4 linked regions of the Oryzias latipes genome follow. The protein of the gene in region 1 binds, or shares a complex with, the protein of each later gene. Links are inferred from orthologs where the notes say so. Each region holds a gene or a part of one and is shown in the gene's direction. Other genes may lie near its edges.

The links.
Region 2: timm21 (region 1) and timm17b share a complex: the UniProt entries of both Homo sapiens proteins name them as parts of the TIM23 complex. The link is inferred for Oryzias latipes from reciprocal best matches to the Homo sapiens genes TIMM21 and TIMM17B.
Region 3: timm21 (region 1) and smim20 share a complex: the UniProt entries of both Homo sapiens proteins name them as parts of the MITRAC (mitochondrial translation regulation assembly intermediate of cytochrome c oxidase complex) complex. The link is inferred for Oryzias latipes from reciprocal best matches to the Homo sapiens genes TIMM21 and SMIM20.
Region 4: timm21 (region 1) and timm17a share a complex: the UniProt entries of both Homo sapiens proteins name them as parts of the TIM23 complex. The link is inferred for Oryzias latipes from reciprocal best matches to the Homo sapiens genes TIMM21 and TIMM17A.

Annotation. Positions count from the first base shown.
Region 1 is NC_019878.2:15,517,642-15,523,459, reverse strand, and holds timm21 (mitochondrial import inner membrane translocase subunit Tim21), read left to right. Parts: upstream 1-2,377; 5' UTR 2,378-2,392; intron 2,393-2,501; 5' UTR 2,502-2,523; coding exon 2,524-2,806; intron 2,807-3,940; coding exon 3,941-4,003; intron 4,004-4,134; coding exon 4,135-4,232; intron 4,233-4,341; coding exon 4,342-4,415; intron 4,416-4,883; coding exon 4,884-4,989; intron 4,990-5,075; coding exon 5,076-5,168; 3' UTR 5,169-5,692; downstream 5,693-5,818. UniProt on the Homo sapiens protein: Participates in the translocation of transit peptide-containing proteins across the mitochondrial inner membrane.
Region 2 is NC_019865.2:21,320,706-21,326,450, forward strand, and holds the start of timm17b (mitochondrial import inner membrane translocase subunit Tim17-B), read left to right. Parts: upstream 1-1,651; 5' UTR 1,652-1,676; coding exon 1,677-1,702; intron 1,703-3,355; coding exon 3,356-3,455; intron 3,456-3,535; coding exon 3,536-3,599; intron 3,600-3,757; coding exon 3,758-3,886; intron 3,887-3,966; coding exon 3,967-4,077; intron 4,078-5,745. Other genes in the region: pqbp1 (polyglutamine-binding protein 1), read right to left, coding at 99-199, 324-435, 516-582. UniProt on the Homo sapiens protein: Essential component of the TIM23 complex, a complex that mediates the translocation of transit peptide-containing proteins across the mitochondrial inner membrane.
Region 3 is NC_019876.2:17,385,188-17,391,103, reverse strand, and holds smim20 (small integral membrane protein 20), read left to right. Parts: upstream 1-2,226; 5' UTR 2,227-2,308; coding exon 2,309-2,417; intron 2,418-4,256; coding exon 4,257-4,313; intron 4,314-5,186; coding exon 5,187-5,230; 3' UTR 5,231-5,420; downstream 5,421-5,916.
Region 4 is NC_019863.2:11,441,004-11,446,765, forward strand, and holds the start of timm17a (mitochondrial import inner membrane translocase subunit Tim17-A), read left to right. Parts: upstream 1-1,915; 5' UTR 1,916-2,000; coding exon 2,001-2,026; intron 2,027-3,317; coding exon 3,318-3,417; intron 3,418-3,644; coding exon 3,645-3,708; intron 3,709-4,593; coding exon 4,594-4,722; intron 4,723-5,644; coding exon 5,645-5,755; intron 5,756-5,762. UniProt on the Homo sapiens protein: Essential component of the TIM23 complex, a complex that mediates the translocation of transit peptide-containing proteins across the mitochondrial inner membrane.

The DNA of each region.
Region 1 (5,818 bases):
CTTATCGATTTTTTTCTGTCTGTTTCTTCCCTCTCAAACACACACAAACGCGCACACGCAAAGTCGCAAACTCATCTACCAGCTCAGAGACGGAGGCGGAGACGTCACTAATTAAGTAAGTCCAGGTCAATTCAGTCAGAAGCAGCTGGGGCAGCGGTGGACAAAGATGCAGGACAAGGAGAAGGCCTGCACTAACGATGCTGTTCTTTTTCTGCAGATGCACCATTCCTCTGCATCCGGACACATTTCACAGCGACGTATCGGTTTCCCTCCCACACTCCTCTTTAAAGGACTTTTTTCCGTAGTAACTTGTAGATTGCAGAGATGAGGGAAAACAATTAGCAGAAAGTTTGCATTTGCTTTGGATGGAAGATATGGATTTTTCTAGAGTGGAAGAACCTTGAAGTATCATTTGAAATAGACAACTTTCAGAAAATTTAACTTTTTTGGGGGAGAACACAGTACCTTTAATGTAAATTTGTTTGAAGAGACTTAAAAAAATCTTTACAGGTTTGAAAACTGTTTTTAAGTATCTGTCAAAATACAAAAGCTTTTATTTTTTTATGTTGACGTGATGTCTTCACGATAGAAACTTGTGTTGTTTTATATAAACTGGTCATTAGAAAAGTTAAAGGTAATGTTACAGCTTTTAATTATTGGATCAACTAATTTTTAGTTTATTATTTATTTTTTTTGCATTTTACTAACAGTTTATTCTGAATGTTTGTGATGCAGAGGATTTTTTAAAACTCAGTTTGGACATTTATTTGATAACATATTGGGAAAATGCTGGACTGAATCTTTTAAATAAACTAATATTTACCGCTTTTATTGTGTGGCAACGTTTTTCTCTTATTTGAGTTTCAAATGCGACAACATGGGGCCACTCTTCAGCATTTCCACAAACCCGTCCCGAGTCTGGGTAAAGGCAGAGGGTTGAGTCCAAGACGCCATCCGCTGTAAAACTGAAGCCAAACGACGTGGGAGGATTTTGTGGTGATCCCCAACAAGAGTAGCCAGAAAATTAAAACAAAATCTGTGTTTGTTATTTATTTATTCTTGCTTTATTATAGATTATATTACAAATTGACCAGTTTTGTATTTGACCAATCCCCTGAGGAAGAAGGAAGCTGGTGTGACAATGGAAATATTTTGTTCAGTGGCAGTTCTACACTGACTTACAACCCCCCCCACACCCACATTGACCACATCGTTTTGTGTTCCCTATTTTTAATTAACACAAAAATCAACACAAATGTAAGAATTTTATATACTCGTATTACAAGGGTGTCAAACTCAATTGCACAGGGGTCCAGGTTGTGGGCCGAACAGGATAAACATTTAGTGAACACATTAAAGATACGTTTTCAAACATTTTAAACTTATTTTGAACAAAAATTTGAATAAAAACAGACAGGAATATTGTTTCGGAATAAATCAACTTCAAGCAGCCCCAAAAATGTAATTGATAATCACAAAGACACTAAATAACATTGTTATAAAATCTCAATCATGTGGATTTGCTTTCAGGAAAGTGCAACTTTAATTGAAATAGGAAAGAAAATATATGCATTTATCAGATGTTTCTGAAATTTGTGGGAGTGCTGACTCAAACAGCCATTCAGCAAATACATATTCATGTCTGCTGTGCATTTAAGTCCTTAGCCAGTAATGCTGTAGTGAGCAGTAATTTGTTTTCCTTTCATTTTTTATCAACATGAAAGGATCCTTTTAAAATAAATTATACCTGTAATTAAAAAAAAAACTTGTATTAATTAAGGGTCTATTTAAAGTATTTACATAATCCTAAGTACCAAGTCAATAAGTTTGAAACCTTAAGTGAATTATTTTTATGTTGAAAAAACTCTGCTTCTAATTAAGTATGTCTAAATTGTTGCATGTTTTGTTTTTTTGGATTTATAACTTTGTTTTGTCTCAACACGTTTTACCTTTGTTATAAAACATAAAAACTGTTTGATCTCAATTTTTTAATCATTGTTTTAGCAGAAAAAAGACCACATTTTTTCTGCTAAAAAATGTGGTCTTTTTTCAAGAATTCTTGAATCTTGAATCTTTAGCAGAAAAAAGACCACATTTATCACTCAGAATTGACTTTTTTGGACAGTTTCAACTTCATTGTGGAGTTATTGTGCAGTATAATGAAAACAAAATCAGTAAAACGAAGTGTGGGTTTTTAAAAAGAGGATGGAAATCAAGCATTGCCGCAAAAACCGATTTGAAGATAAATCAATAAAGCGAAATACGACGTAAGGTCAAAAAAGCCCCAGACCACAAATAAGGCTGCAGTTTGACATCCGGGACAGAAGGGGGCAGTAGCCATCTTTAGAAAATCCTCGACGTCTGATCGACCCAGCAGGTCAGTGAATCAGAGGTCTGAATGGCGGTTTCCAGCATTGCAATTCCATGTTACCATGAAAGACCGCTGTTATTTGATTCTTATTTTCAGTAGATGAGCTGCTGTTTTCTTTTCTTTTTTTCAGATATTGTCCGTCGGATAAAATAATGTCTTTCACGCACATTTTAAAAGCCGTGCAACAAAGTGTGCGGAGCTCCGGGAAAACATTTCTCCCCGTGCAGCAGGCTGGCGTGCTGTTGTTCACACGCAGAGCAGGAGCGGTCATCCCCGGCCTGTCCGTCCGTGGGTCAGAGGCTCCTGTGTCCGCCCTGAGCTGTCTCTGTCAAACACGAAGACGCTTTTCTGTTCACGTTATCCTCAGAAACAAGGAGGAGAAGCACAGGTCTGTTTCTGCCTACCAGAGTCCTAAAGTGTCCTCTGCTCAGAAAGGTATGCCCATTTCAGATTTGTGCAACTAAACGCATATTTACTGTCTTGTCTCTTTAAATGGGGTTTAAAGCTACTATTTTATTTAGAAAAAACTAAAAATCTTGTTTTAGGACCGCCCATTTTGTTTTCTTACAACCAAAGCTGCTTTCAAAGTTTCTTGGCAAGTAATAACTCCTACTCCCTTTCCTGTGGTGTTCCTCAGGTTTCTGTTCTGGGCCCTCTTTAGTCTATACCTCATTCACTCACTTTATGTACTTCATCTTTTTCATGTGATTTATTGATACCTAAAGATTCTTAATGACCTGAAACTGTGTTGGTAAGGTATAAATATCCGCTTAGAAGTTATGAACCGGATACTTCATGTAAAGAAAATGTTAAGTTTGATAAGTTTGCTTCCTTCCACTCCCTTTCAAGCCATCTTTAATTAAATGACTAAATATTCTATGTTTGATACATCTTAGTTTGTATGGATGTTGATTGTGTAGTTTTCAGCATTGTTTTTGCTTTGGTTGCTTGAAATAAGCAATGCCAAATCCAATTGAACAAGGTTTATTGAAAAAAGAAAAGAAAATCCAAATTAATCTTGAAGATAAATTCTGCATTAATTCATCAAATCAATGGATATATTTCATTTTGCATTTATTCCAGCATTGGAATATATATATTCCAGACCAAGAATTTGCTCCTTTATTCTATTTTTATGTCATTATTTTTAAAGTAATGAAGTAATTACTAACTCTGGTAACGTTAGGTTGGGGGTGTGAGGGGGAGCGGGTAATAGGTTGGTGATGGGAAGTGGAGCAGGCTTGCTCCACGCCAACAGCACAGTGGTCAATTTCTATTGAACTACTGCTGCTCTGCAGAAACTAACTAACTAAAGATCTTTAGGACTTGTCATCATAATACCTCGGGGCATACTAGAGGGCCAGACCTAACGTTATGTTGATGAGTTCCTCCTCCTCTTGTCATCTCTTATAGCCGCAGTCTAATAGAGCTACCCGTCTGCACAGACACACAGTTTCCTTTTATATCAAACCTGGAATATTTTCACTCTGGGTTAAATTTTGCTTATAAATCTAAACTCTTCCACTATGCATTGGCCACTCAAGAGCCTCTGCTCTGTTTGTCTTTCAGTCAAAGATGCTGGGAGAGACTTCACCTACCTGATCGTGGTCCTCATCGGGCTTGGAGTAACAGGTGAATTGAACTGCACGAGTCCAAGGAATGGCTACACAACAATCCCACATTGCTTGTTTATATATTTATTTATTTGGTCCCAGAACACACAACCTAAATAATCAGCTGCAGTTTTCTGCTGTGTTGGTCAGGGGGGCTGTTATATGTGGTGTTCCAAGAGCTGTTTTCCTCTACCAGCCCAAATAAAGTCTACAGCAGAGCCTTTGACAAAGTCAGGTCGCACCCAGAGGTAAAAATCAAGCCAGACGGCGTCTCCTATCAATATTTTTTTACTGTTGAAATGGCTAGAAATCATTGTTTTTCCAAAATAAAAGTAAGAAATACATAATCAATTGCAGGTTATTGGGGCATTTGGAGAACCAATTAAATGTTACGGTGAGACCACCCGCCGAGGGAGAAGGCAGCAAGTCAGGTGTGTTGACACTTTATCTTATCTTATTGAACTTTTTCTTACTTGCAAAATGTTGCTTTAGCATTCATTGATTCATGGTATAGAATACAGTAAATCTGATCAAACTTGGCATAACAAGCAGCTGCCTTTAGTTTTAGAGGAAATGCTTTTGCAGGATTTGAAGGACTTCCTTTCAGAATCACAACCTGTGAACATCAGCTATAAATCATATTTTCAGCAGCATTGAATTTCCTTCAACGTTTATGCAAAACTTGTCATGAAGGAGAATTTAGTTTCAGACCCCACAGCTATGAAACATAAAAGTTTTTATTGTCTTTTGAAGAGCTAACGTGGTATTCGTGCTGATTTATTGTAAGCATCTGAGAATCTGGAGCTCTGGAAGAATGGAGTTACAAAATGTTAAGGTTATTACATATATATGTTATTGTTGGAGTTTTTTTATTCCTTATTCTCATATTTCCACTTCAGTCACGTGGAGTATGTAAAGGATGGACTTAAGCACATGAGACTAAAGTTTTACATTGAGGGATCGGAGCCGGGCCTGAAAGGGACGGTGCATTCAGAGTCTAAAGAGGTAAGTCTTTATTTAAATGGAAACCTGTTGTTTCTTGTGTGGATTTTTTGATCAGTTGAGATAATGGTATCCTTGTTGTTTTGCAGAATCTTGAAACTGGAAAGTATGAATTCCGTTATGTATTTGTAGAAATAGATACCTACCCGAGACGGACTATTGTTGTGGAGGACAACAGATGAGGAGCTTTTCTGACACTCAGGGGACAAGTCAAGACGTTTGCACTTGTAAAGCAGGGTTTCATGTCTGTGAACTAAATAAATGGCTTTTTCCTGAATATATTATTGTGAAATTTTAAGAAATGGATTGGTTAATAAAATTATTTCTCAGCATTTGGTAGAAAGCTTCTCTATCGCAGTGTTAATGAAAATACAATAGTAATTTGTAAATAGAACATACAGAGATATTTTTTTGAAGATAAATGTATGCTTTTACAAATGATCACATTCTACAGAACTAATATGCTATAAAACATGAATTTGATCAAATTTTGCTTTTAAATGTAGGGGATGTTTTACTCCATTCAAACTTACTTTATCCTTTTTTGTTGTTTTACATGTAAAAATGTGAATAAAAAAGAATCACCAGATGGAGCTGCAGAATTTAGTATTTTGAAAATCTAGTAAAATGTGTAGCAACCCTAATTTAATTAAATAACCTATTAACATGATTTACACTGAATTTTAAATAAAAACTTGCAGAAAAATGTCTAACAAATCTTTTTTTTTTTTTTTTTACTTAGTCAATTTTAACAAATATGTCCCCATTGCTACAGCTTTTGACACCCCCAAAAGAGTTTTTTTTTCACACGAATCTCCTTTTTAACACACCC
Region 2 (5,745 bases), on another chromosome or scaffold:
CAAAAAGTAAAAATCCAATATTTTGGACATTTTATGAACTCTGTAAAACAATTTTTAATGAAAGCAGAGCAAAGTCATCTACTTTACCAAATTCTTACCTTTTGCTTTTTTGGCAGCTTTCATTATAACCGCTGACGGATCATTTGGGGAAAGCCAGGAAACCAGATCGGACTCAATGTTCCAGTAATAAGGAAGACCGCTGGGAAATGAAGAAAACAAATAACTTTAGCTGCAATTGCTTTTCATTTCAATGGTAGATCAATGACACGCAGTGATCATACTCAAACACAGCAGCGCAGCTGATCGACTTCGTTTCTACGTACCACGTCGAGTCAAACACTTTGTACCAATTTGGGGGAAGATTTTCTAACCGAGTGGCTTCATAGTCAACATTGTTGTCATCATAATCTTCAGCGATGATCTCCTCCTCTATCTCTGTTTTGTTGAGGAGAAAAAGTCGTTTTAAGCTCAGAAAAAAAGCAGAAAGTAAGCTCTGTGAGGATGTAGAATACTACCTTGATCTGAAGGTTTAACTATTCCTCTCTTGGCCAAACGGGCCAGCAGGGCTGGAGGTAGAGGCATCTGCAAGCACAGAGGAGTTAGGATTAAATGATGATGCAAATGCTGACAAATTCTTCAGTTGATTACATACGAATTCACCGATTGTGTACAGGAGTTAGGATTGCAGAAATTTTGATTAAATATAAATTCTTTTTAAAAAAAAATAAAGGTTCCATTCCAAAACTAATTATGTTCGTTCACAAACATTTTTGCCTAACTAGTGATTTAAATAAAGCAAAACTTGAACTTTAAATCAATAAAATTCAACTTCTGGCTTTAAAAGCAAAGAAAATGTTTTATTTAACCTGACAAATACAAAATATTACTTTTATAGAAAAATCAATTAATTAAATAACTGATTTGGCTTTAATTTGGCAGAACTGTTTCGTTTCAAACTAACCCATAAAAGCAACAACATAAGAGACACCCATTACCCCAAATTCTGAAATTAAACATGTTCTATGACCAAATCCAGATGTACAGATGTGTACATTCAGAGCACCTGTATAGATAAGGTATTTGAAGCAAACAAATCCATTCTTCACTGTTTCTAAACAAATTCTCTGGAGGAAAATTTTATGATAAGGTGCGAAATTTAAACACGCACGCACGCGCGCGCACACACACACACACAAAACTGTCTCAATTTCAAAGCAGCTCAAAAAATGAAACAGGACTTTTCTGAAAGTTATTTCGATGGTTCTGGTTCTACTATGGAGCGATTGATTAAAACTCTCAAACGTTAAGTTTTTTTTGTCTTTTAAATATTGAGGTTAGTGTAGCTCAGTCAGTTTTAAAATATCGATAATTAGCAAAGAAACAATATTTCAAGAGCTAAAATAATCTGCACGAAAACATGATCCAGGCCCGTTTTTCTGAACTCAACTCACAGCTGCGGTTAAAATAAATCAAAATCCCGTCATTTTGAAGTTCCTAACTATAATAAGAAACTCAATTAACCAAGTAAGCGTTTATATAAATAACAAAGAGGGGGGAAAGTCTGTACCTGTTCTTAAAAACGACTATTTCAATCGTTAAAATCAACAGACCACCACAACGAACGATGAGCCGGCGCCTGATTATGACGTCACTGCGCTTAAAAGACGACACGAAAGATGGAGGAGTTTGCGCGTGAACCTTGGTGAGATTATCTTTTTTTGTCGAATAAAACCTAAACATATTAGTTTGTCCTTTGGCTTTTATGCAATTTTGCCCTCTTGTTGAACGAAACCTGACCAGGTTGAATAGTTTCGCGTCCACCACCGAGAAGTAATCTAATTTCAACTAGAATTCTAACATTTCGCAGGTTATAAAATATATTATTTCTACAATTTATGGAAAAACGACAACATTTACTGTTAGTGCTTTAAATTAGCTTAAAACATATTGCGAACAAATGTTACATATTTTGTGACATTTTTAATTAATTGGTAGTAAGCTTGTTTATTGTTTTTCAAGCCGAAACATCCAATTTATATCCTTGTGCAGAAATGGATGTTTTATATATCACAGAATATAATGGTATTTAATAGCAATTAAGATCACAGTTACATTTATTCTATAAATCCTAAATGCAGTTTAAATCTCTCAACAACTTTCAGACATTTTAAAGAATAATCATTAACATTGTCTACTATTTCATAGATGGATGATTGTTTATTAGAATTCAGTAAAGTCGACACTTCTAGGGCTTCAGGCACACAGATCTCCTCTAAAGCTGCCCCAACTCATCAAAATGCTGACATGCTTGTCATTGAGTCATTGATAATCCAGATTGATAATAACACTTCTGAATTTAACTGATTATAGATATTAGATAGTTGTTATGGTTAACCCATTTACTTCTGAGTTCAGAGTTTTTGGAGGGATTAACAGAAAGATCCCCCACCGTCTACAAAAGGAAGACACACAAACCAATCAGAGTAAAAACATGGAGACAGAATCATTTGTTTCTCTTTTTGGTCTGCTCCTGCTCCGTCTGCTTGCTGCCCCACGCCGCTCCGTCTGCTTGCTGCCCCACGCCGCTCCCTTCTGCCTCCTTTTTTCCCCCTCGCAGCTACAAGCTCTGCCACCTCTGGCTCTTCTCTGTTCTGATCTAATCAGTTTCTCTCTGATCTGTTCCTGCTTTGTGGTTATTCCTAGTTTTGAACTTAAAGGAAGTCAGAATTCACTCCCCTTGTGTCAGAAGAAAACACTGTGGATCTGTGATCCATTATTTTGCCTTTAGAGAGTAAATCTGAATGGAGAGAACCCCCTAAGTTTATAAGACAAAAGAATCAGAGGAAAATCCTTTAATTTATCATTTGACTCGTGACAAAGTAGAATAAATAGAAGAGTTAGCATGAAAAAGCCTGTGTCTTCTCATTTAGATCTTTGTTTGTTTTGAACATTTGAGCCTCCTGCAGCAGTAAGCCACCAGAAAGAACAATAATATGTTGCTGTTTTGCTGTCTTAATCCAATGACTAATTATTTAAACAAGTGTTTTAAAGCTGTTAAAGAAAATGCAGGTTCAGTGTGACCTTAAATAATGTCTGCATCTGTCGTTTAATAATATACTGCAGCTAAAATTGGGATTTGGAGTTAATATAATCCAAAGATGAATTCTTGTGGAAGCTGGAAAGTATGCCGGATCGTTGATAGCTTTCCTAAGAAATTAATAAAAAGGTTATTTGTTTCAGTTCTACACCTTTAACTTCTTGGCCTAATTTTGGTTCATTCAGATCCTGATGAGTCAATCTGCAATTTTTTTCCTCTGTGTCCGTAATTTTTCATGATCTGACTTCTTTCCTGCAGCCCCTGGAGGATTGTGGATGACTGTGGGGGGGCGTTTACTATGGGTGCAATTGGTGGAGGGGTGTTCCAAGCAGTCAAGGGGTTTCGAAACGCCCCCGCCGTGAGTTAAAACCACAAGTCTGTTGGCTCTGATGCGCCTGTTTTGTGAGGATAATAATTAACAGCAGTCTGACCTTTCAGGGTGTTGCACACAGGCTAAAAGGAAGCGCCAATGCAGTGAGAATAAGAGCGCCGCAGATTGGAGGTGAGGAGATTTTGCTCTTATTAATAACAAAAGGTTTCCTGGCTTCACCACAATGTCATTTGCTGTTCATCTCTTTATTGGAAAAATTATACCTAGATGCCATAAGAGCTGTTCTCTTCTTGTTTTTGTTTTTCACACTCCCCTGAACATTTTTGCAGGCAGCTTTGCAGTGTGGGGGGGGCTCTTCTCCACGATCGACTGTGGTCTGGTCCGTCTGAGAGGGAAAGAAGACCCGTGGAACTCCATCACCAGCGGGGCCCTGACCGGAGCCGTTCTAGCAGCACGCAGTAAGAGCGAGTCTGGGCCGCACACTCTCAGCGGGTCGTAGTGTTTGGTGGAATTGAGCGGACAGGGTGTCTTTCCTCAGGCGGACCGTTGACCATGGTGGGCTCTGCCATGATGGGAGGAATATTGCTCGCTCTCATCGAGGGTTTTGGGATCCTGCTAACCAGATACACTGCACAGCAGTTTCAGAACCGTGAGTGAAACTCTTGAATGGTGGTTTTATTCTTCCAAAAATGAGTTTTTGAAAATCATATTTGTATTCTACAGTAATATAAATCAGGTTGACTTTTTCTTTGGTGTATACATTTAGTTATTGTTACCTATTCACACTATTGAAGTTTTTTTCGCGGCAAATGCAGAAGACACCAGGGAAATTACATCAGCAAAATGTGATTTGCATTGTTAAAAAAACACGATGAGGGCAAAATGAAGGCTGCAAACTGGAATTTTTTGGTTAATCCTTAGTCATATGCTGGTTTTTGGTTTGTTCGGGGCTGTGGAGGGTCGTAGAGACAATCAGCTGCACCTTGAGGGGAGCAGATGTGTCTTTTAGTTTCCCTTCAGTCTCGTACCTAATGGAACGTCACTAAAAATGCAATGTACAGTTGTCATGCGTTTGGTAAGTTTGTATTTGTGAAGTATTTCTAAGGATAGTGACGTATGACTGGCTTACACCACACTCTATTCATTAGCAGGTTGTGCACACTGACTCAAATGCTGCACACCTGCGATGTGGAATTGCCTGTAGGACGTTAGTCAGGCTGCACGCAAGGAGCGCACACACATTGTTTAAGCGTTCACTCCGATTTGTCATTCGCAGCGTGTCCGTGAAAAAACTGTGCATGAACATTCTTGCTCAGAGCATTCTACGACCTTGTTGTTTCTTGCAGGCCACCTATGTGCCCCGTACAGGTTTGCCCATGTTTCGCTCGCAGACAGTCGTGAATTCATCTCATTGTGGAGACATGCATGGCAAGGAGCCGCCCCCCTTAGCCTCTTTTTCGTTGAACAGAACGGGGTGGATGAAACTTTTCTAAAGTTAGACGGTGTTATAGGGGTGTGACGACAACCGCATCACCGCACGGTTTTCTTTTTTCTTTTAAGTTGTGCATATGGTGCGTGATTGGAACATTAATAAACACATTAAACACATTCATCTTTGCTGATAATTTACTTTTTCTGCTATTCCTGTGTTCAGACTTCAAGGGTTTCTGGGGGAAACCTTTTATTACTGTTCTCTCCTTCACTCCCTGCGCCGCGCCTCTCCCCTCAGCGCTGCACGCGCTCCCTCTTCTTAGACACACACGCGTGGTTTCAGCAGCACACACACATCCTCATTCTACAACAGAAGTTTCTGTCTCGCGAGGAAATACGACAAATTTACAAATTTAGTTCTCATTATTCATTTCCATTGTATTCATTTCCATTACAAGCTTTGTGCTTTCTTGAGTGCGAGACACGGCCGCCCGCCGGAGGATTTTGTGTTGGGGGGGGTTTATTACTGTTCTCCTTCACTCTGTAACACCAAACATGAACGCGCACTGTTAGAGTGGGATGAATATCACTACATGTTTTGTTTGGGAACTATTTTGTGCAGCGCAAAGTTACGTGTCCGTATAAACAAAGGCGGAGCCTCCCGCCCCGCGTTCTTCATGGGTGTCAGGCTTCATGGCTACAGGAAAGGTGACAAAGTGTCTGCAGTCTGTTTATTACTGGGCAATATATAATATTCTGAGAAGATGTCTGTACCAGAGAGCACAGGTGAAACTCCCGTGCAGCTCTAGAGCGGTCCGCTGCAGAAGAATCAACACACACCCCCAAAACACTTGTGCGCTCCTTCCTTCTACACACACGGCGCGCT
Region 3 (5,916 bases), on another chromosome or scaffold:
AGAAAGAAAAAAGAACATTCTTATCAGTATGCATACATAAACCTATATACAGTCATAATCATAGAGAAATTAGGGAAAAGTATAACATAAGAAAACAACAATTTCAGAGTTGGATAGTGTTACTAAATGCAGGGGGATACAACAGATAAATAAACTGTCTCAGACACTGGGAATATCACTCAGGGGGTCAGAAATTGTTATGGCTTTAGGTGAATCGATTAATTTTATGGATTTCAAGTATAAATTGACCTCATTGTTAAAGAAGGTAAAGCTGGGGTGACATTTCTGTAATCTATTTTTGTATATTAAAAACTTGGCTAAACATAACACAGTATTGATATATACATTATTTACACTGTTGTGGCCAAAGATTATTACTTCTTTCGAAAAGAAGTCCATGATGAATGGGAATTTATTTTTTAACCATTTGTAAATATCCAACCAGAACATTTGAACAACATCACACAGGAAAAGGATGTGGCCGATGTCTTCAACAGCAGTTTGGCAGAAGGAACAGCTGTTGTCATCAATGTTGAAACGTAATCTAAGTAATTCTTTGGAGGGATAAATATCATTCATAATTTTGAAGTGTGTTTCTTTAACTTTTGGGAGAATAGGAAGTTTCATGAAATCGGTTCTTAATTTGGTAACAACATTTTGTTCAAATTTCTGCAGTATATTGTTTTTTGTTCTCTCGTCCAGGAAATAATCTTTCAATTAACCAATTTCTGATAAAAGAGTTATTACATTTTCTGTCCATAAGAGGGCATGCTTCAATTGATAATGTGTCTAACTGTCGTTTTATCATTACATGTGTCATTGTGTTCCTTGTTAGAAATACTAATTCTCAAGGAAGAGAATTACGTACTTTTAAGAATTCTGAAATAGGAGGATTAAAGTTATGTCTTAAACACAATTGCTCATAATCTAATAAATTGCCCTCCGTGTCCATCAGATCAGTCACCGACCAAACACTTTGCCCAAACCATTCAGCACAAAACAAGGACTTGTTTCTATGGAGCATGTATTCATTGTTCCAAATAGTACTTAAAAATGGCGATGCACATACAATATTTTCCAGTATAGCAGAATTGTGGAACTCTGATAATGCTAGATTGAAAGATTGGTTGTGTTTGATCCACGATTTTATCTATAGGATTCCGTTACGGCAGTCAAAATTCATAACTTTGAGACCACCATCTTTAAATTCTTTGACCATATTTATTTTTCATGTAATGATGCTTGTTTCTCCAAATAAAGTTTAAAGTCATTTGGCAGATGGATTTTATCATTTTGTTTGGGATGGCATTAGAGTAAGATGGGTAAATACATCTTGACAAACACTCCATCTTTGTCAGATAGATCCGGCCCTGCATCGACATGTCTCTTTGGAGCCACATATTTAACTCTGTCTCACATTCATCCAGTTTTTCACCCACATTCCTTGATTAGCTTATTTTTTGGTCTTTGGTGATGTAGATCCCCAAGTATTTAATTTCTGATTTAATGGGCATATGATTGATTTCTTTTAAAGGTGTGTCATGAATAGTCAACAGTTCACAATTTCTTTAAATTTAAGTTTGACCCTGACGCTTTGGAAAAGTGTTTTACTTTTTCAATAGCTGCTTTGATTTGATGCTCATCTTTTAAAAACAGTGTTGTGTCATCTGCTAGCTGGCCAATAATAAGCTCTGTACCCAAGACATTTAACTTTTTGATGTCATAACAATTCGTAATATAAATGGCCAAATTTCAAGATTTCCAAGAAGACTTGATACAGTAATTTTCTGATATCTTCCCAAAAGTGTCTATAAAAGTCGCCTGTGAGCCCATCTGAACCAGGAGATTTATTAAGAGAGAGTCGATTAATGACAGCATCAAGCTCAGAGATTAAAAGTTGTTTATCGCATGTTTGTTTAAAATTGTCGTCTATTTTGGGGATGTGGGGAATCTCTTTTATAAAGTTGTCACAGTCTGCTCTTGAAAATTTAGAGCTGTAAAGGTGGCTATAAAATCTGTAAATTTCTGAGGATACAGCCTTTTCATCTGTAATTTCTATATCATTCACTAGAAGTGATTTTAGGCTCAGTTTAATAGATTAACATAATTTTACTTTCATAACCCCTAGCGTTTATCTATCAAAATTGATATACAGTGTATTGCTCTGTGTTCCTTGCTGTTTGTCATTTTTGGTTTTTAAATAAAGATTTGTCAAAAAAAATGTGACAGCGTAACCTTTTCCCCGGAAGTACAAGTTGTAAACACGGGGTGTCTTTAATGCTAGGTTACGTCCTACCAAGCTAGAAAAATGTCGAAAAATATAAGAATAGCGCTGATTTTTGGGGGTTTTATAACAACAGTCGCCGCTGCTTTATATCCTATTTTCGTCTATCCTCTGACGCACAGAGACGAGTACAGTAAGTAGCTAACAGCTTGTATTTATTTATTTTTTTAGCTCTTATACAATGTCATGTAAACGTCACAAATATTTTTATATATTTTCTAAAGATATTCTCCTAAATCAAACTAAAGGCTGTTTTGAAAAAAATATTTGAAGTACCGGTACTGAAGTATTTTTTTTTTTATTTAAACTGCTTTTGGAAGCTAGCTTCTAACTTTTAGCTAGCTAGTAGTTTAATTCCATTTGAGTATTTTGTCCTCAAAGCTGAAAATAAGCAAACTTTTAAAGTAATTTTCCTCATAGGTTCTATGTTTTTCCCCCAAACATGTTTATAATTAAAAATAATACAGTCAAAATGATGCAAATCTAAAGATGAAAACATGAATAAAAACAGCTACAGCAAAAATAGTACAACAATAGAAAACATGTTTGAAATAGAGCAGGAAGAAGCTTATTTATTAAGTCTGCCCAAGAAAAAGACAAGAAAACGACTACTAATACTGCTTCTAGTACTAGTACTACTATTAAAAATAATAATAGAAAAAGAGAAAATCAACTACTACTACTAATAATAATGTGAATAATGATGATAATGATAATAATAAATAACATAAATGAAGGAGAAAGTACAATTAAATAAAATAAAAAAAGCTATCTTTTCAGCCGCTGCTATTTAACAGTTTGCATGCACACCGATCATGATCTGATTTCAACAGTAGTCTGCTTACTGAGGTGAAAAAAGCCTGATATCTTTAATGGATTATGGCTGGTAATAGTATTTGGGCCAGATGTCTCTCCAAAAATTCTATTTCCTGCTTCAAGGATTTATGTTTGCCTGATTTATTTTAAGTTTTTCTGCATCGGATGTGGGAAAAAGGCAGTTCAAATAAACTTCTGAAACAAAAAACAACAGAAAAAGTTCATTCTTAGGCATCAAAATACACAACTAAAAAAACAAATCTGACTGTTCTTTATGAAGGTAAATATGTTCCAAAAAGAACGCACTTTTGATTTGATGTGAGATCTTGTAATATAGAATGTGAATACTTGCACAACAAAATTCTGCATCTTTGTGTAAAAATCTTTTGCTGTGAACTGAGAAATTCCCATTTGCATGTGTTCATTTAGAGTTACAACGTCAAATATGTGATTCCAACTGCTCAAATGTGCTTCTGCGTCTGCTCGAATCTGCTGGCGCAAATCACAAGTGCGCTACAACTGCGCTCTGAATTCTGACACATTCCTTGCAAGAAACTTGTGTCAAAACTGATCTGTGTCTGATAATGGAACTGGGGGAAGGGAGGGTTAGAGGAGGGGGGAGTTAACCAATCAGAGTGCAGCACTCAGAGGATTTGGTAAAGTTAGAAAGATGGTCACAGATTCGGACTTCCTGCTTGAATAACTCTTCCAGAAATCTCCATCTTTGGAGAAATCCAGATGTGTTCATGTAAGCAGCAGGATCTGAAGGTTTTAGGTCAAACTGAATCCTAACTACTTCAAGCTACTTGAGGTCACACTATAATGTCACGAATGAATCAGGTTTTCTGAAATTAGCTCTTTAAAGTAGGATTTTTTTTAACTGTTATATTATTTAAGTAATAATAATATTTATTTATTTTTTCCATGGATTTTCTGCACCTTTGCAATGTTACTATTATAAAAATACAACCCCTGTAATGATTTTCACAATCACCGGCAAATATGTTCCCTAAACTGAAGCTTTAGACTCTCCTTCCTTAATTTTTTTTAAAAACATTTGAAATCAAACATTTCTAGAAATTTTTTGAAATGGATCATAGCATGAAAATTTTCCCTAGAATAAAGAATCTAACTGAAATGCTGTGCTCCTTTTTAGGACAAACTCAGAGGATAAATCGGTCCGGAATAAACCAGGAAGATGTGCAGCCTGTGGGTAAGAAAAGGTCGCTGAATTCAAAAAAGCGGGTGAAATGATGCTTACAGGAGCTTTGACAATACTGGTAAAAAAAAAAAAAAAAAGAGAAATGTTTGGATCAACTTTCCTCACAAAAGAGGAATCTTTTTGTATATTTTGTCATTCCAAAACACTTCTTGGGTCCGTTTTTAATCAATTAAAAACAATAAACAAATGTTTTTACTTTAAGTATGGATGGCAGATTAAGTGAAATCAATTTTTGAAAAGAATCTGTGAAAGTATTTTGGTCGGATTTCTTATCCTTAACAAAAAACGCCATGAAAGCGAAACAGTTTGACATTTTTATTGGATTTGAGTCACAGAAAAGTGAAGGCAGCCCGGCTGCTCTTTTAGATCAACTTTATTTTGTCACAGGATCACTTTCTACATCCTCTGTAATCATTTGATAATTACAATAATGACTAAAATGTCCACATTTGGCCTAAACATTTTCTGAATTTTCTGAAACTCAAAATTAAAAAACACATTGTTTGGAGCTAAATTAAGAAATAAAGCACAAGTTAAAAACCATGTGCAACTGCATTTGCTGTAGTATTTTGTTTCTTTTGTAACTTTCAGTTTAATTACATTATTTCTTTAATCTCCATTTATGATTATTATCTTTTTAATAACTATTGCGGGATTTAATATCTATTAAAGCAAACGTCTGCTCTGCAAAGCACTGATTCTACAAAGAGAACAATTCATGTATCGTTTTGGGATTTTATTTTGAAGCTTATTTTGTTTTTTCAGATGTGATCTCCCAATAAAAAAAGAAATCGGTTGATTCTGTTTTGTATCGTTGTGATCATGCAGCATCCGTGGTTTTTTTTCTTCTTTTCTTCTCTGAAGGTCTAAAAGTTTGGTCTGATCCTTTCAAGCCTTCCGAGAAGTAATAAGCTCCTCCCTCCTCGCCGCCCTCCGGTGCTCCCGGACAGGAAGACCAGGGAGCCAAAAAGCTTTTCTGATAAATGTGTGAGTGTCTGTGTGTGTGTGTGTGTGTGTGCGCGTGTGCGTGGCTTATGTCATGAGTGTTTGCTGAAAACTTTTTGAACTGAATAAACTTCAAGAACTTATGAAAACGTTCATGCTTTGTTTGACATTTCTTTAAGAGATGACATTTTTTGTTTTCCTGCTATTAGTTTATAAAAGAAATCTTTTAAGGTGGAATGAGTTGTTAAGCACTTTGTGTCCACAGGGGGGCGCTGCATGCCTGCAAAGTGTTTCAGAGAGCTCCCAGCAGCTGCAGGATTTATTTTGGAAAACGGCTTCTGAAAAGTGTCACTCGGGTATGCGGCCTGTAGGAACTTCTTCTGAAAGGTTTGTTTACTCCTCGCGCTCCTCAGAGGCTCCGGCTGCACTTTTTTTTGTAGTTTTTTTTTTTGTTTGTCGTGAACATTTTTCGGACGGAAAGCGATGCTGTCCAGTCATTTGTGGTGTAGAGAGGAGACTGCATTTATTCCATGAGCCAGCATTTGAGCTAGCCGCTTTTTTTTTGGGGGGGGGGGGACAAATCCATGATGGATTTCAAAATAAAATAAAAAAAGATCCAGCCTCTCTTTATGAGACCACAGGTGCTGTA
Region 4 (5,762 bases), on another chromosome or scaffold:
TCTTACTTTCTTGTGAAGCATTTTTGAGTTTTTTAACCAGATGACTACAGTTAGTTATTTCTGTTTTTTGAAAAGAAGATTCGATTTTTAAAGTATTCATCATCCTCCTTTCTGGATTAAGAACGTGATGCAGTCACTGGGTACAAATGACCCACTCCTTTGAATCCACAGCAGCATTCTTTCTGTTGCTGACAACAAATCACAAGCGGTTTGGAAACGGTTGGTTTCTACATGCGAGGTAGCCGTCATCCTGAAACAGAGGAGAGGGGAGCTGCACTGGCTGCAGGCCAGGTTGTGTCTCCAAACTCAGTCCTTACACATGAAATGCCCATATTTGGTCATTTCTCAATGAAAGCTCACTCTGCAAGTCATTCCTTTCCTATTTCTAATAATGGGCTTCATGCCAGCCGTCTCTCTGCACTGCTGCAGCTCCCCGACCACCAGTGGTATTTACCAGGGGGGAAAAAAGAGGAAAAAAGAATCGAAGCTGTTTTGTAAAAAATATCATTTAAAGGAGGAAAAGAACCCAGATGATGCTTTTCAGTGATTAAGTTTCATGCACTGCAAAAATAAGTAGCCTAAAAAGACAGAAAGAGCACTATTCTTGAGAAGAAAACCACTAAAAACTAGTAAAATTGTCTCCAGCAAGTAATTTATACTTATAAGATGTTAAAATCTAGAAACAAGCTGTTCCACATAAGCATTCAAAAAGAGAAAAATAAGCATACTTCGAGAGAGTAACTTATAATAATATCGTACGGTCCGATAATAAGTATTTTTTGCTAGTTCTAAGCAAATGGATTTAATTTTTTCAGTTTTTATAAACCTAATTCTATTTCATTTTGATTACAGTGACAAAAAATAGTTAAAAAGTAGAAATGACTCATTTTAGAACAAATCCTCATAAAATTTAGCTCTAATTGTTTGAATGTAAATCAAATTCTCAGTTTCCAAAACAAGGACACTGAATGCCAGTCTAACATTTATTGAACTCTAAAATAAAATCTTTAAAATTGAGCCAAAAATGACACTGTAATTAGAGATTTTTTGAGTCTTGAAACAAGTTTTTTCTCTTGTCGAGAGTAGGGAGCAAAAGAGTTTGGATTCATTTTAATACTTATTTCTTTATTTCTGTATCTCTGCTCTTCCTGAGAATGTGTATAGCAAAAATAAGTTCAAACAACTTAAAACCTGGTAAAATATCTTGAATGTCTGAAAAGGTTTTAATCTTTGAAAGAATCAAATGCTTTTCAATGTGTGATCTTGGGTGTATTATTTTAGTTTAGCTTTTGGTTGCTCTGAACTACATGTGGCTGTTTTTTTGTTTTGGCAAACAATTCCAAAGCCTTTAAGTAGCTGACATTTCAGTAGTTGAGCTCTCACAGAGTACACCCGGACACTTGATGTATAGGGTTAGGGTTGGTGAGTATTTTCAGAAAGGATCCTACTCCCACCAGCAAAGTGTTTTCTTCTTCTTCATGTTTTAAATCCAACCTGTGATGTTTCTGATGTTGTGACTAATTTCTACAATCATTCATACTCTGTCTGCAGTCACATTTATAAATGTTAGCATTGTCACAAACCACATCAACCACCCAAGGATTGGCTAATAGATCAGCTAATATAAATAAATTATGTGAAAAATTAAGTATAGATTTTTATTAAAAAACAAAAGCAAACACATATTATCAAATTTTTATAATTTTTAACTACGTAAACATTTTATATTAAGAAGTATTTACTTAAAAATAGTGAGGCATTTGTTTGTCCACGAGTGACAGATTAACTGGAGATTTTGTAAGTTATTTATTTTTGTCTTCTATTTCCCTGGAATTATAAATAACCAAAAAAAGCGGAAAAAATGTATACAGAAAACTGCAACCACACGTCTGCTCGATAGATGGCGGTACTCATTACTTTCAACTATTGGTTTACGTTCTGTGACGTCAAGAAGAAGAGGTTACGTCAGGACGCTCAGGGGAACACGGTGAAAGAACAAAATGGAGGAATATGCGAGAGAGCCGTGGTGAGTTTTTTATTTATTTATTTATTTTTAAATCACCTTAATTGTCTGGTTAAAAAACAAGACATGTTTGTTCCTTAACTTTGAGTACCTATTCTGATCACCAGTTGTAATGACTTTATCAGTCCTTAACCTTGCATGCTAGTTAGTGGTGTTAGCCGAAATGCTAATTTCTCCCTTGAAATCTATGGGTAGCTTGACGCTAACGACATACCGGCATGGTCGTGAAATCACGTTGGTGACCTTGTCGGCTATTTCGTCCACATGTAACTCTACTGACTTCACTGAAAACAGTAGTTGACTTTGCACTAAATAGAACACGGATTGCATCAAGTACCAAAAAGCCAACATCACCATTGTTGTTCAGAGAAAATTTGTATAACTTGTTATGAGACCCGTGTTGTTGTAACTCTGACTGCTGTCAACCCGAACCTGTGAGTGATCGGTTTTACTAGATTCCCCAAACACTTGTTTCGACATCCTGTAATCAACTTAAAAAAAACCATCATATCTACGTAAAATTGTGTTAACTATAGGTGGACTGTAAAAACCCATCTTAGGCCTTACTGCCATTAGTGTGACACTAAGTTGTTATATTTTGGCTGATCCATGACCAGTTGTCTTTTTCCCACCTCATTTAACTAGGATGTGACAAAACAATGGAACTTGATGCAATTTTGCTTGATTTCCACAAAATATATCTTTTTGGACGGTTTTGAGCTTTTCTTTAACACACAGTTGCACTGTGTCCTCTACATATAGCATGTTATTTCCTCTTGGCATTGTTTTAATGGTCTGCAATATGTTTCATTTTGGATAATAGGCATGACTGTAATGAAGTCTCCTGTAGCACATCCTGAAGGTCTCAGTGGTATTAAGACCTGGGTGTTGAGGTATTTGGTCCATGCATGAAACAATGTCTAAAGTTCCTAGAATTAGACGTTGTAAATCTTGGGCTAGCTTACTGGCATGCAGATGCACTCCCCAACCCCAACACACAGACAGAATTAAATCAATTCAAGTTTTAAGTTGTTTCATTTAGTTCTTAACCAGTTATGACAATAAAAAAGTCTAAATTATTGATGTCTACTGTGGACTTGTTTTTCTCTCAAGTTTGATGCATTTATTCGTTTTTGTCCCCCCCCCCCCCCCCCCCCATATATTTGGAACTCATTAACGAACAAATACCTGCTGTTTATTTTAAAAATACTCGTATTAGGTTCTGTAGTCTGTTGTCTGGCACTCCATGAGTACAGCATGAGGTTAAGCTTTGTCTGTGTTTTTTGTTTTTTAGCCCCTGGAGGATTGTGGATGACTGTGGTGGAGCATTCACCATGGGAGCTATTGGAGGAGGGATATTCCAGGCGGTAAAGGGCTTCAGAAACGCACCCTCGGTAAGTTCAGTTTGGACATTTGAACTGTACGTGTGTGCCGTCACATGGGTTTGCTGTGATTATCTTTCTCCTACCTGTAGTGGCAGAGCCAGTGTTTTGAAAGCCTTGGCCTTCTGGTTCAATGACTCGCTCAAGGAAGCTTTAAATATTTTCCAGCGAGATGGGTGTTATAGTGTTTATCTGCTCTTCACACTTTTTAAATCTGTTTGTGCTGGTCTTTTTTGTAGGGAATGAGCCACAGGATGAGGGGTAGTTTAACTGCCATTAAGACCAGAGCCCCGCAACTGGGAGGTAAGACAAAAAAAATTCCACATGTGCCGACACTTATGTCTCATTTCCACTGAGCGATCCCGGTCCGGTCAGGTGATTGTCTTTCCTCCTGCGTAGTGCCAATAGAACAAAAGCTAAGCTATCGACAACAACAATGCGTGTTGTGTTTTTTTTTCTTTTCTTCTTTCTCCAAGATGGAGGATATATAAAGAAAATTAGGCTCAAAATTCTATTTTGAGTATTTCTACATCGAAATCTTTGTGAATCAGGCGCAGACGCAAAAATGTTGTTGGAAAAAGCTTGTAGGTGTGATTAAAGGCATCTGGCTCAAAACTGTACGGCTGGAAAACTCCAATATTGCTTGCCATTTTAGTTGCAGCGGTAATTTTAGGTTGGGGTTGTGAGGGACTGTAAGCTAGCAGGAAAGCCTATAAATGGATGGATGATGGGATGTGGGGATGGACTTACTCTGCCAGCAGAACTTGGAGGTGAATTTTTAATGAACTCCTGCTGTTCTGCAAAAATTATGTCCTAGAAAATGACATGTTCTTTTATTTTTTTTGCTCAAATCTGCATAATTATAAGTAAAAAGTCCACTGGGGACACTTTTACAATAGATCAAGAAATGATCGGAGTGGGACTTTGATGGGGTTATTCTGCTGTTCTGGTAGCAGGTTGTTTACCATGTAAACAACAATACCCTTGAGTCATGTCAACTTCACCAAAAGGTCAAATCTTCATTGGTTTACGTTGCTTGTTAACCATTACTGTGTTTAAACTTTTGGTTGTCTTTTTTTTTTTTGCAAGGTTATATTCATAAACGGGTTTATAACATTTTCTGCTATACTGTCAAAAAAGATGACTGATGGTTACTAGTTGGTAATTATTTGTGGGTGTGTGTTGCAGGTAGCTTTGCGGTGTGGGGAGGCCTTTTTTCCATGATTGACTGTGGTTTAGTAAAAGTAAGAGGGAAAGAAGACCCCTGGAATTCAATAACAAGTGGTGCCATGACTGGTGCTATTCTCGCTGCAAGAAGTAAGTACAAATTTCCCCTTTTGAAAATAGACAGAACTTCAGGTGAAATTTTGCCTTGATCTAACTTGGAGCTCATGTAGTGATACAGAATTTCAGTAACTATATAACATTGGCACCAATTCAAATCATTGAATGCTATCTAGGTGGTCAGACACACCAGAATCATTTTACTTTGGTGAAATTCCATGTTTGCACATGAACAGGAACGTACTGGTGGAGGTCCTCTGTGCTGTATGTAGACTGTGGCTAAATCCACACAGAAACGTATTTTTAAAAAAACTGGCATTACATCTAATAAACTATTAAACTTTAGTAAATGTTTTCTAGAAGCATATGTGGCCCATCTGTCATCACATAATGCAAGAAAGAGACCGTCTATTTTAAACGGTCTGTAAAAGTTACATTCCACTTTGCGTTTCTTTTGAATTTCCTTTTTTGGCTTCTCTCAGCGGCTTTTTTAAGATGTTTAAATTGTGAGATGTGTGTGCACTACTGTTTGCAAAGGCTTTTGTCTGATCAGAGCTCCACTTTTGGGTTCTGTGAGGACAGAACTTATCTAATTCTCTCGCTAACGGTACTACTATGTGACCTCCAGGGACTTCTTACATTTTTAGAAACTTAAAGTAATTAAGACATTGGTTTTATCCAGAAGATCTGTACAGCTCCTAGTAAACTATTGTGGAACAATTTTTCTTATCGTCGATAATTTTTCTTATCATCGATTTTGTTGTGTGCTTTTCAGTTAGCTGATGCTGCACAAGTGCAGCCTGCAGCTTTATTTGGAAAGTATAATGCCAGTAATCATGTCAGAATAAGTCAAGTGTTTGAGCTTTCAGAGCTGCATTTCATTTAGCTTTACCAGAACTTCCCCATTTTTGTATATTTTTGTGACGTGGGCTGCGACGTGTGTGTTTCTCTGTAGATGGGCCTGTAGCAATGGTTGGCTCTGCTGCTATGGGTGGGATTCTGCTGGCATTGATAGAGGGCGCTGGAATCTTGCTTACAAGGTTTGCCTCTTCACAAATCCCAACTGGTGAGTG